Rattus norvegicus: one gene and its partner. The protein of the gene in region 1 purifies or fractionates together with the protein of each later gene. This does not show direct contact. Links are inferred from orthologs where the notes say so. Each region holds a gene or a part of one and is shown on either strand. Other genes may lie near its edges.

The links.
Region 2: the proteins of Trerf1 (region 1) and Dnttip1 purify together in Homo sapiens (affinity purification with mass spectrometry; 3 studies listed by BioGRID and IntAct, with this or other methods). This does not show direct contact. The link is inferred for Rattus norvegicus from reciprocal best matches to the Homo sapiens genes TRERF1 and DNTTIP1.

The regions. Positions count from the first base shown.
Region 1 is NC_086027.1:21,132,730-21,139,251, reverse strand, and holds part of Trerf1 (transcriptional-regulating factor 1), read left to right. Parts: intron 1-1,705; coding exon of another isoform or gene 1,706-1,741; coding exon 1,742-1,953; intron 1,954-6,522.
Region 2 is NC_086021.1:173,898,554-173,905,762, forward strand, and holds the start of Dnttip1 (deoxynucleotidyltransferase terminal-interacting protein 1), read left to right. Parts: upstream 1-2,537; 5' UTR 2,538-2,590; coding exon 2,591-2,695; intron 2,696-2,762; exon of another isoform or gene 2,763-2,844; intron 2,845-3,218; coding exon 3,219-3,289; intron 3,290-4,150; coding exon 4,151-4,247; intron 4,248-7,209. UniProt on the Homo sapiens protein: Increases DNTT terminal deoxynucleotidyltransferase activity (in vitro). Also acts as a transcriptional regulator, binding to the consensus sequence 5'-GNTGCATG-3' following an AT-tract.

The DNA of each region.
Region 1 (6,522 bases):
TTGTTCAGAAACTGGGCACTTTTTCTTTAGGGTACAATAAATGATTGGTTCTCAATTTGGGGGTTTGGGGTTTGGTTTGGGTTTGGTTTGTTTTTTGTGGTAGGGGGGTCATCTTTTACTTTGCCCAATCAGACACGCTCAGCGAGAGAGACATTCTTAATGACTTCTTTAAAAAAACTCATCAAAGAAAGCATGATTGATGGCTTATTCCATGCCTAGCAATGAAGCCTGGGTTCAGTAAATCAGAAATAGATTTTTTTGTAATGCAATAAAAAGGACCCATGAGCTGAACAAAGAGAGGGCATCTAAAGCCACTGTGATGGAATAAAGGCCCTTGGTTTGGAGGGCTGTGGACCATAGCCTAGTACCTCAGTGCCTCTGGATAGAGGATAATTTGGTCCTACAATAACATTTTTTTTAGGACTGGGAAGGCAGGACCTGCATCTGGTGGGTAGGGGCCACAGAGGCCTCTACAAACTTGCTGTGCACAGGACAGTCACCACCTGTCCAGCCCCAAGTATCCTTAGAGCTGAGGCCAAGAAGCCCAGCTCTGTGCCAATATTTGAATCTAATCAGGCATGGTGGCAGACACCCGTACTCCCAGCACGTGGGAGAAGAAGGCAGGAGAAGATGCACTCTGGCTATTCAGTGAGGTGAAGGCCAGCCTGGAGCACAGGTTAGACTAACTCAATGAAGTCATTGGTCTGCATATTCACAGCCAGCCATAGTGATAAGACTTGTAAATCTAGTACTGGGGAGACAGAGGCAGGAGGATTGCCTCGTGTTTAAAACTACAGTTTAGGGCTGGAGAGATGGCTCAGTGGTTAAGAGCACTGACTGCTCTTCCTGAAGTCCTGAGTTCAATTCCCAGCAACCACATGGTGGCTCACAACCATCTGTAAAGAGATCCGATGCCCTCTTCTGGTGTATCTGAAGATAGCCACAGTGTACTTATATAGAATAAATGAATAAATCTTAAAAAAAAAAAAAAAAAACACTACAGTTTAAACTGTATACATGGGTTGGGGATTTAGCTCAGTGGTAGAGCGCTTGCCTAGCAAACACAAGGCCCTGGGTTCGGTCCCCAGCTCCGAAAAAAAGAAAGAGAAAAAAAATAAATCTTAAACTGTATACATAAACTGTGTATAGTAAGTTCCAGGCCAGCCAGGTCTGCAGAATGACACCCTGTCCCCCAAACTATGAGAAAGCCTGGCCCTTTGATTCTCTTAAAGTTTGGGGGTCTTAAACATTGTGGCTTCTGCAGTGTACACGGACTGCAGAGAACATTCATCTAGCAAGCATAAGTAAGACCCAGGTTCAATCCCCAGCATCACAGAAAGCAACCAGACTTAAAACAAGAGCTACCGAGGGGCCCTCTAACTCCTCTCATTTTGCACATAGGGAAAAAAAGAAGTATTTGAAAATCGAGTGGTTTAATGGCCTCTGATATTTGCAACAGGGTTTCAAGTTAGAGCTGGGTGCTAACTGGCTTTGAGACAAGAGCTTTGTCCTTGGTACTAAGCCTCTCGGCCTTTTGCTCTGGTTAGGCCAGTGAAGGAAGTCTTATTGGCACAGTTTGTGGTTGGGGTATCTGAGCTTTGCTTTCTGTGGCACACACCCAGTGCTTGCTTGTGTGAGCCCTGTGCTGTTTCATGTATCCCATGTTTTGCCACCAAGTAACTAACAACCCTAATTTCCTTTTCAGGACTGTAGATGTCATGTCGCTCCCTTTCTTCCTCAGGTGTTCAGCTCCCGACAGGCACTGAATGGCCACGCCCGCATCCATGGCGGCACCAACCAGGTGGCTAAGACCCGAGGTGCTGTCCCCTCTGGGAAGCAGAAGCCAGGTGGCACCCAGAGTGGGTATTGCTCAGTGAAGAGTTCACCATCTCACAGTACCACCAGTGGAGAGACCGACCCCACCACCATCTTCCCCTGCAAGGAGTGTGGCAAGTAAGTACACTTGAACTGGGTATCAAACCCAAGGTCAAAGTGAATGATGGTTCTGTGGGGGCTGTTTTCTTCAGCTGACTTTCAGGACTCCCCTTGATACTACCCGGGAGGTCTGCAGATAGATCTTTTCACTCCCTCTATCCATTCCTCTGCCCACAGCAGACATTACTAATCAATTACCGCATTCTCTAACATCACATCACATTAAAATGCAGCATCCTATCCTTCACATCATAATGATGCATGGTGGCACATCTAGTTGATTGAAGCCCAGGCATTGAGATAAAACCTGCTTTTCATCCTTGTCCCTTTAGATATACCTTAAAACAGCACCTAAGGGAAGAAGCTAACAGTAGGTGAGAAGAGCAATAGCTTTTACTCCACCACATACTTCATGTGTGTGACTTCACTCAATCCTCACAGGGAAAAACTCCATCCAACGCAAGTTGCCTTCATTCTTAGTTTACAAATAAAGATTTTAAGGTCAGGTAAAATGGCTTTTCCCAAGTCACACTTGCCAGGAAAGCAAAGCTGAGATTTAAACCTCGCTATGTCCAGATGCAGCGCCTGGCCTCTCCACGCTGCTCCAGCTTTCTGCCTGGTTTTGATTAGCTACATTGCAAAGAGCCTAACTAGTGTTAAAATACATGGCTCCTTCACAGCTTCCTTCCCCGTCAGTCCGCCTAGCCCCAAGGCCATAGCAATCTCACACACTTCACCTTCATCGTTTGCGATTAAAGATGAGTGCTAAGGGCTGAACCACACCACAACTCAAAAGAGGTTTCTTTGGGGTTGGGGGTTTAGCTCAGTGGTAGAGCGTTTGCCTAGCAAGAGCAAGGCCCTGGGTTCGGGCCCCAGCTCCAAAAAAAAGAAAAGAAAAGGAAAAAAAGAGGGTTTTTTTTTCCAGTGAATCTCAGGGCTCACGGTGTGATCAAACACCCTACAACAGAGATGGGTAGCTGTTCTTTGCTACTCTGTGGGTTCTTCTTTTTCCTGCTCCTATCCCCTCCCCCTTCATCTTCTATCACTAAATCGGAGAGAAAGGAAGGTAGAGAAGAGAAAGAGAGAAAGATCCCTGAATCTAATTTCTTTCTTGTTATTTCTTCTTTGAACATGACTAACATACCACAAGCTACCCCCCTGCTGAGTGACCAACAACCCCCAACCCCATCTCTGGGAGCCCTGGCATTTATACCTTCTGAAAGTTCAGAAACAATGTCAGAAACTGTCTGCAGCTGGCAAAACCACCCCTCTGCCAGAGCAGGAGACAAATCACAGGCAGCAGCCGCAGACAGTCCCAGGCAGCCCCACAGCCCCACCCTGGGATTAAAACGAAAACATATCCTTATAATATTTTTGTGTTTAAAAAAAATTCTAGAATTCTCACTACAGACATGGCTTAGCAGTTGGGAACATCGGTTGCTCTTACAGAGGACCTGGGCTTGCTTCTAGCACCCACATGGTAACGAACAACCGTCTGTGATTCCAGTGCCGGGAGATCTGACGCTGTCTTCTAGCTTCCACAGATGCTGCTCAGAATTACATGCAGGCAGGCTCCCGCTCATATAAAAAATAACAACCAAATAAAAAGAACAACTGTGATAGTAAAATAGTAATAATAATGTATCAGGCAACTTCATGGCATTCAGCAGGGTCCTCCCTGCCTTTGCCTGAGACGGTTTTAAATGGTGTCTTATACTCTCCATTCATTTACTCTTTAGAATAGCCCTGTGAGGGGGTGACGAGACAGCTCAGCACACAGTACCTGCCACTTGCCGACAAGTCCAGATCCCACCTGGGAGATTCGTGACTTCAGAAAGTTGTCCCCTGACTTCCACGTATACAGACATCATGGGAGTGTGTACGCCCATGTGCACACATGCTGATGTGCACACACAATTACAGAAACTGAGGCAGAGGGAAGTTAGGCCTGCAGCTAGGCTGACCTGCGGATGAGCCTCTTATTTAGCCTTCAAAACACTCAGGCTGGCCTGGCCTCTTATGATTCAGCCACTGGGCTGCATTGCCCCTCACACTTAGAGAGAAGAGTGACCTGCAGGCACCCTACTCTGACAAGGAAGCAGCCGAGGCTCAGCTGTCACCCCCTGTTGTCCTGGAAACATCAAGGCCTTGCCAGGCTCCTCTGAAAAGGAAGCAAGAGCCTTCTCTGTAGGAGCGGGATTCTCTGTAGTCCACCAGGTGGAGACGAAGGCCTCCTCAGGCAAAATCTCCACAGGCTGACGGTCCCAAATCTTAAAATCCAAAACTTGGCGAGCAAGCACTTGACACTGCAGATGAAAAGTTCTACACTGGGAAACTTTGTTCTGCTCAGAAAATGAGTGAAAGCCACTCAGTGCTGAGGCAGTGTGCACACCTGTGTCTCCCACACACGTCTGGGGGCTGATGGGAAAGGGTCACAAGTTCAAAGGCAGCCTGGGCTATCTAATGAGAGCCTGTCTCAGATGACACATGAATGGGTGAATAGATGGACGGACGGACGGATGGACGGACGGATGGACATGGGGACTGACGGGAAATGATCACAAGTTCAAAGGCAACTTGAGCTATCTTGCAAGAGCCTGTCTCAGATGATGGATGGGTGTCTCAGATAGTGGATGGATGGATGGACGGACAGATGTAATTGAATTATTTATTCTAGCTAGCTTGTATAAAAGCCATAACAACCTGATATTTTATTTACAAGCCTAGATTGAGTAGGTTCTGTGCCATTCTCACCTGTACCCGAACCGTACGTCCCTGTTAACTTGCTCTTTGAGTCTCACCCGAGCTGCTCCTGCCCCCTCAGCCTGTCCTCAGGGTATACTTTTCCTGGCCAGGGGCTCATGAGCCATCTGATCTCCTGGCAGCCACCTTTTCTCTCCGACCTCTCTCTCCTCCTCTGTCCACAGTGGTCACTACCTGCAGCCCCTAGCCTGGTAACTGATTACCTCTATTCTATACCGCCCACCAGTAACTGTCAGCCACTTCTATTTAACCAGTCAGAGAAGATTGGTGAGCAAACTTTACACAACATGGGAAGTGCTTGTCTGGACTGCAACCAGATCCTGGGAGCCAGTATTTAGCATTCGAATACCAGACCAACCCCCAGCAGATACATACATACATACATACATACATACATACATACATACATACATACATACATACAATGGAAACAGGAGAACCCAGAGTTTAGGGGCATCCTTGGCTATATGGAGTTGAAGGCTAGCCTGAGCTACAAGAGAGCCTGTCTTAAAAGTGGGGGTAAAGCAGTGAGCCTCATGCTTAGCCTTGGGTCCCGTCTGCAGGAAGTTTCACTGTGTGTACAGATCTATAGCGTCTGATCGCTGTGGACCAGAGGGCACTTGCCTCAGGTTTCATGTTCCCGGCTGTCCTTCAAAAGCACACAGCAGGGTTGGGGATTTAGCTCAGTGGTAGAGTGCTTGCCTAGCAAGCGCAAGGCCCTGGGTTCGGTCCCCAGCTCTGGAAGAAAAAAAAAAAAGAAAAAGAAAAAAAGAAAAAGCACACAGCAAGCATTTTTCTCGTCCCTGTACTCGAGATCTTTTCTTTCTTTTGGCTTTATTTGTTATTAGTGTACATATGTGCCCACGTACATGGCAGGACACACATGGGAGGCCAGGGGACAGCTCTGTAGGGTCAGTTCTCTCCATCTATCTGTGGGCCCTGGGGCGCGGGGAAGAACTGAAGGTGGCCAGGCTTTCTCTGCAGACGCTCTCCCCAGCCCTCACCTGCCCCTCCCCAGGTCATTCCCTAGCAAAGTCCAAGCAAGACTTTTATGAAAACTAGACATGTTTCCTGAGGTTTTCCAGAGAGGAACAGCACTGAACAAGTCCACGACAGCCTCTTTCGGCTGCTCAATCCTCTTCATTTCCCACATGTCCAGATAGAAGCCAGCCTCAGGCTGTAGGGCTCAGGCTGGGTCGCTGGACTGGTTGGAGAGTGACTAAATTGTATTTATGCTATTCTTTCTCCATAAACCCGGGTTCGTATCTGGGCTGACTTTCCTGAAAATGGCCGAGATAGCAAATAGGTAGAATGTGCAGGCCATGCTCTCTCTCACCACCTCACTTTCCCATCACATCCCAAAAACAGTAGGGGGAAAAAAACTCAACAAACAGACATAGTTGTGTGCCAGTGCCTAGAATAATAAGGGGGCCGGACCCTTGATCTAAAGACTCTGGCATCCTTCGATCCCAGGACTGCAGGTCATTGACATGTTGGCTCACATGATTTCTTGCCTGGAGGTGGGAGAGAGGACCGGCCTTTACAATAAGGCTTTTAATCGCATCCTTGGCCTTGGCTCATGCTAGACAGACACCTCCTAACTTGGTTACAACAAATATGTCTCCCGACTTTGCCAGCTGCTTTCTGTGAGGGTGCAGCCTCTCTGAGCCCAGGCCTACTTCATTCTAAAGAAAACAGTATGAAATGATAATTATGGTGGCCAAGGGGGTCTGCAGCAAAAAGAAGTGGTAGAGGGAAAAAAATGGAGTGGGAAAGGGGGCCCCCAAGTGGTGTGCGGGAAGAATTTTCCAGCCCTTTGACCGG
Region 2 (7,209 bases), on another chromosome or scaffold:
CTGGGATTCTGAGGGAGAGGACCAGAGATGAGAAAAATGAACAGTCCACAGCTGGGGCTTGGGGGTGTGAGGGGCCGAGGGCTGATGACTCAAGCCAGCAAGTTGATTATCCTCACAGTTCTTTACACAGCCTCGGATGGAGCAGCAGAATACGAATCAGCAAGGTTACAGGGAAATCAGCAGGACTGCAGGGAGCTCTAGCTTCTTTTTTGCAAGGTGTATTCTGGTACGGTAAGCAAGCATTCCATACCTCAGGGTCTGGAACAGTTAACCACAGCTTACATGGAAACCTGGTCTCAGCCCCCCAGAGCCCTGGCACCAGTCCACTGCTGGCTTTGCCAAGAATGACCCTGACAGGGAACAAAAAGCTCTGTGTTCCTTGTTCCGTCCACAGGATCTAGAAGGGCCTCTAGACAGAGGGAAGAACTGGATGGACAACCTGAGAAGAAAATAGCCGAGCTAAGGATATAACTTAAGCACGATTCCTGTCCATCTCTGGGAACTGTCACAACCCATGGGAAAGCAGCATCAGAGTGTCTCAGCATCGATACAAGAGCACAAAAAGTTTGCAGCTTGGTCCCCATAAGACCACACATGCCACTCTTAGACAAAATGAAGGGCAGTCATCAAACTCAGAGAGGACAGCTGCTGTGACTCTTTCACATGTCTCCTTTGTCTCCTTTTCCCCTGTTTCTTCTTATTTGCATAGCGTGTGTCCTCGGTTGGCTTTGATGTCTAATGGTGTCCACTGACACTGCCGAGCCCAATAAGGTTAGGGGCAGAGTATAGGTAGAAACAAAATAACAAAAAAATCTTCATAGATCCAAAACCAGGCATGGTAGGGTTTACTTGTGATTCCAGGCTCTGGGAGGCAGAGAAAGGCAGGTAAATTACAAAACCGGCTTGAGCCAAAGTTCAAGGCCAGCCTAGAGCTACAGAGTAGGCTCTTGCCCAGGGTGTGGGAGGTGGGGAGCCACCATCATTTAAAGCAAGGAAGTGCCCTTGTTAAAAGGTGGGTGTTGGGGCTAGAAAGATGGCTCAGAACTCAGGGAGCCTGTGTTGTTCTTGTAGAAGACCAGGGTTCAGTTCCCAGCACCCACACGGAAGTTTACAATTATCCATAACTCTATTTCCAAAGGATCCAATACCCTCTTCTGACCTCTGCGGACACCAGGCACATACATGATGTATGTACGTAGATACATATGTACATAATACGCACACACTAGCAAAACACTTGTACACATAAACCTTTTAAAAAGTGGATGTTGGAACATGGAAAAAACTGGTATTGTTATTATCTAATACGGACTTTATGTACAGTACTTTAACCCACACAATAATATTTCAAAGGAAAACGTCCTTAAGTGGAGGCTGAAAATTACTATTGTATTAGAATAATCTAAGGAGTTGCTTGTACCGTAGTTTTAAGTGCTTTGTATAAAATAACCCAGCCCTAATATCAACCATGTGACTCTGGGGTCAATTCCCAGCACCACATAAACCAAACATGGTGCGGCATACTGTGGAGGTGAAGGCCGCTCCTTAGCTACACGGTGAATTTGAGTCCAGCCTGGAACATTTGAGACTGTGGAAGAATGATCGTGCAATGAGTGAGTACGCAGGAGAACAACGGTAGGTGATCCAGTCCCGCAGCCAATGTTCTTAGGCTTTGACTTTGAGACAGTATCTTGCTATGCTGCACAGAGTGAGCTTTCTACTACTTGTTCCTCAGTGTTGGGGTTATGTTATCACACCAGGCCCTATCCAGCATTTATGATCATATCACATCAGATTTGAATCTAGATCTTTCCTCACACAAAACTCGTACACGTTACGCTACCCGCTTATTGTAACCCGAGAAGAGTAACTTCATCACCCGTAAATGAATCCAATTCTTTCACGGACAGCTCACCTCTGAGACAATGCTAAGGGGGGCTCTGGAGAACGCCACAGTTGTTAAATCCTCTGTCCCCTACCTATCCCAGAATCAACCATCTAGAGGAGAGAAGGTCAGCTCTCCAGAACAGGACTAGTTTGCAAGCCCAAACCCAACCTTCATTCTGCTGCCTTCCGACACAAGCGGCAGCCCGCAAAGGCTAGTGATAGGGTGCTTAGGTGTTTGGGCATTTCGGGTGGCACCAGCAGCCCTTCTTTTGTTGGCTTTCCTGGTTCCTGAGTCGGACTATTCCAATTCGGGAGAGGCTGGGCCAAGTTTTCAGATGTTCCTGCGGTTTTCAAAGACTGAACTTCGGACTGCCCTCATCCGAAGTCCTATGCTCCCCAGCTGAATTGTATGCTCTGCTGCCCTCACACCCGCCCTCGTCCTTTGACTGAATGGACCCGAACACCCACACTCGGTCCCCAGCCGTTTTTCTCCCAGAGATCCGGAAGCCCCGACGTCGTGCCCTACACCAAAGATCGAGAAAACCACTCAGACGCGGCTCCTAGGCGGCAGTTCGGTTCCCATAGCAACCCTCGGAGCACCCGCATCCCGCTTCCGGCCGGGTGGCTCGGGCGCTCCCGTGACGTCACGGCGCCGCTTTCCGGTGACTGAGTCGAGCTGAGGTTGTTGTGGGCCGGGGGCGCCATGGGGGCGACTGGCGACACCGAGCAGCCGCGGGGCCCCGGCGGGGCGGAGCGAGGCGGCCTGGAGCTGGGCGACGCGGGCGCGGCGGGCCAGCCGGTTCTCACGGTGAGGGCGCCCGGGCGAGGCCGGGGCTCGGGCCGGGCAGGGCCTCGGGCTCCCGGGCCCCGGGCCCGCGGGCGAAAGAACGCGGCGGCTGTGCGGCTCTGGGGGTGCCGTTTTCTCCGTGTGACGACCCGGATTCAGAGTCTAGTTAGGTGACTTGGGCCTGATGTGACACCCTCTGGGCGCCAGGTTTCTCTTCTGTGAAATGAACAACATTAACCCGAGCTTGATGGAGTTGTGGTGGGATGGGCTGATAAAGGCGGGTAGAACGTCCTGACTCACCCGCCTCATAAGACCCTCGGTAAACGCTGCTGCTCTTCCAGAAAAAGCGAGATTTGGACATTGGTGACAGAAAACATTTTCCCAGTTCCTCCACCCTGACAGGGTCTTCCAGCCACTGAATTCCCCTTCACCCCAAGGTGGGAGAAGTGAGAAGCAGGAACGTCTAGGTTTCGCTCCATACTCACTTTCTCCTCATCCTCACTCTGAGAGGCCTCGGTGACATTTGCCCACTTGGTCCCCACAGAACCCTTGGAACATAATGATCAAACACCGGCAGGTGCAGCGAAGAGGCCGCCGATCTCAGATGACCACAAGGTAAGACCGATATCCGTTATGTGGACTTTGAGTGCTTTGAGACCCCCAACTGCAGGAATTTGAGATCAACAACACGTAGAAAGAGCACAGAAATCGGGGGAAGAGAGACTCCGGTGCTCTAACTTCCTGTAACCTTGACAGTTATTGCCCTAACTCCTCTACAAAGCAGAGAAGGAATAAAAAGTCGAGTACCATCTCAGCGATTGAGATCTGTAAGTCAGAGACTGTGAATTCAAGTTTCAGGCATCTGTTCTAATGCAGACTCTGATGTTTGTTAACTGGATACATTCGGGCAAGCCTTTAGCTTTTCTTAGATTCTGTTTTCTCAGCTTTGACAGGGGACTACTAGTGAGTGTCCGGTCTGGGGAAGGGGAAAAACTGCGTATGAGCCTTTGGAATTCTTGTATTTTTGACCTGGGGTAGCGATAATCATTTATTAATGATTTAATAATCATTTACTAATTACAGCGCTTGGCAGAGGCAGGTGGACCTCTGTGAGTTTAAGGCCAGCCTGATCTATATAGTGAGTTCTGAGACAGCCAGACTACATAGTGTGACTGTCTCAGAAAAAGGAAAAGAAAAAATATATGTGTATATGTTATAGTTCATAAAACACTTGGAAAAGGGTTGGGGATTTAGCTCAGCGGTAGAGCGCTTAAGGCCCTGGGTTCGGTCCCCAGCTCCGAAAAAAAGAAAAAAGAAAAGAAAAAAAAAAACACTTGGAAAATAATTTGCATTTCACAGAGTTACAATGAAATAAAAATTTAAAATCCCATGTCGCCAACTGGCTGAGTAATCTGGGAATGTATGTTTGGAACACTCCCCTGATTCTGTCTCCCCCACCCCCACCCCCAAATGCAGTTTCACAGATCCAGCCATCTCTATGGATCTCCTCCGTGCTGTCCTGCAGCCTAGCATCAATGAGGAGATCCAGAGTGTCTTCAACAAGTACATGAAGGTGAGGACATGGTGATTAAAGCCAACAGCACTGCTGAACAAGATCGTACAGCCAGGTGCTGCAGTGTGCCCAACCATGCAGGAGGCTGAGGCAGCTGACAGCCAGCCTGGGCAGCACAGTAAGACCCCTTGGACGAGGGAAAAACAGAATGGAGGCTGGAAAACACAGCCTCTGTGGTTAGGAGTGCTTGCTGCTCCTGCACAGGACTCAGTTGTAGTTCCCAGCACCCACATCAGGCCACTCCTAGCCACCTGTAACTCCAGGTCCAGGATCCAGTGCTCTCTTCTGGCCTCTGCAGATTATACCTGGAGTATAAATTCCACAGGTACATACACAAAAATTTTTTGAAAAATTTTTAGAAAAAGCCTGGTGGGGCTGAAGACATGGCTCAGAGGTTAAGAGCACTGACTGCTCTTCCAGAGGTCCTGAGTTCAATTCCCAGCAACCACATGGTGGCTCACAGCCATCTGTAATGAGATCCGATGCCCTCTTCCGGTGTGTCTGAAGACAGCGACAGTGTACTCATATATATAATAAATAATTTTTTTTAAAAATTCTTAGAAAAAGCCAGGCATGGTAGCACATACCTTTAATCCCAGCACCCAGGAGAAAGAAGCAAGCAAATCTTTGGAGTTTGAGGTCAGCCTGGTCTACATAGAAAGATCCTATCAGGAAAGAAAGAAGAGAAAAGAGGTGGGGAGATAGAGGGTACTTCCAAGCAGGATGGTCCTTCCTCCTGTCAACAGTCTCTGTTCACATGCATGCTACACAGAGGAAATAGGCTTCCATTCTGAATATACACCCCAATAACTTTTCCACTGCTTTTTTTGCCAAATGGTTTCATTTTAATGTATTCAACACCCTTGCTTAGACCATGAAAAGTCTAAAGCCATGAGTATAAAGCCATGAGTTTGATCCCAAACACTGGAAAAAATAGTAACTCATGATTAGCATATTGTCAGGCATGTCTGAGATGGTGACAGTGTATAAAACAAATAATGCCCTTGTTCACTTTAAACAGTGGTAGGGAATGAGGGAAAAGAAGAGGTGACCACTGGGCTACTCAAAAACAGAGCTAGGGTGCCTGTTCTTATTAGAGACACTTGTGCATTTTGAGGGGGATTGCTTGGTAATGCCAATTCACAGTATTGATTCTTCCAGTCCATGAGCTGGGGGGGTGGAGGGGGGTGTCATTCCATCCTGTAGGGTCTTCACCAATTTCCTTCTGTTTTTAAAGCTTTACTGGAAGATTTATTTTGTAATAATTGTGAATGGAATGATTTCTCTGAGTTCTTCCTCAGCCTCTTTGCTGGCAGTGTAGAGAAAGGCTGTAGGGTTTTGAATGTTGATTTTTTTTTTTTTAATTCTGCCTCTTTGTTGAAAGTGCTTGTCAATCCCATGGTTTTCTGGTGTGTAAAGTGCTTGTCAATCCCATGGTTTTCTGGTGTGTAAAGTGCTTGTCAATCCCATGGTTTTCTGGTGTGTAAAGTGCTTGTCAATCCCATGGTTTTCTGGAGTGTAAAGCCTCATCTGCAAGTAAGCTCCGCTGGCTGCTTTCTTCCTTGTTGTGTGCTTTGTTTTTGTCTCTCTTGTCTGGTTGCTGTAGCTGAGACTTTACTGTACTGAATGGGAGTGGAGAGTCTTGTTCCTGATTTCAGTTCTGAGTTTCCTGTAGTTAATAGGATGTTGGCTGTAGGTCTGTCATCTGTAGCCTTTGTTATGTTGGGATACATTCCATCTCTCGCAGGATTTTTATCACAAAATGATGTTTTATTTTGTCAGAAGCCTTTTCTGCATCTAGTAAGATGATCATTTGATTTCTGTCTTAAGTCTATTGCTTAATGAATTCCATTATTGATTAGCAAATGTGAATCATCCCTATGTCTCAGGATTAAAGCCTGCTTGCTCATGATATTTACCATGTTTTCTTGAAATCAGTTTGCAACTCTGTTGTTGAGAATTCTTCTTCTCTCTTCTTCAAGGAGCTTGGTTATAATTTTCTTTATTCTGTTTTGGTATCAGGATAATTCGGACTACATAAAAAGAAATAGCTGCAGATCATGTGAAGGCTTTGAGGCCATTTGGGTTTTTGTCTTCTGGATTGTTTAGGGGTTTTGTTGGGCTTTTGGGTTTGTTTTGGTTGTTTTTCCCCCTCCTTTGTTTTTATGTTTATGAGTGTTCTGCCTACATATGTAGGTATGTACTGTGTGTGCCTGGTATACACAGAGGTCAGAAAAGGGCAATGGATCCCCTAGAGCTAGAGTCTATGGGCAGTGTGAGCTACCATGTGGGTTCTGGGAACTGAACCTTGGTCTTCTGGAAGAGCAGCCAGTGCTCTTAACCCCTGAGCTATCTCTACAATCCCAACCATTTTTGGTTTGGTTTGGCTTTTAAAGTAGCTCAAAGAGGCTTAAAATCCACTACATGGCTCAGGATAGCCTCAAACCCTGATTCTCCTGCTTCTGTATGTAATGCTTTAAAGGAATGACTGGCTGTTTTTAGGGAGGGCTGGGAGTTAAGAGCACACACTGTGGATGAAGAATCCTCGTTTGGTTCTTGGCATTCAGGGCAGGTGGCTTGGCTTCCATCTGGCTCTAACTCCAGCTCTGGAAGCTTCAGCATCTCTGACTTCTGCAAGCACATTTGAACACATAAATATAATTAAAAATAATTTTATAAGCCAGGCATGGTGGCATGCACATAATCTTTAATCCCTTGGAATTCAAGATTCCAGCCCTTGGAAGGCAGAGGCAGGCAGATATGTGGGTAAGGTCAGCCTGGTCTACAGAGAAAGTTCTAGATGAGCCAGGGCTACACAATGAGAATACGTGCATAGTGAGAAATAAATTAGTTAATATAATTGTATTTAAAAAAAGAATTATTATCATGTAGAGAATAGACTGCAGGGGGACTGAAATAATCCCAGCAGGAAGTGACAGTGTTGGAGCCCCAGCAGTGAGGC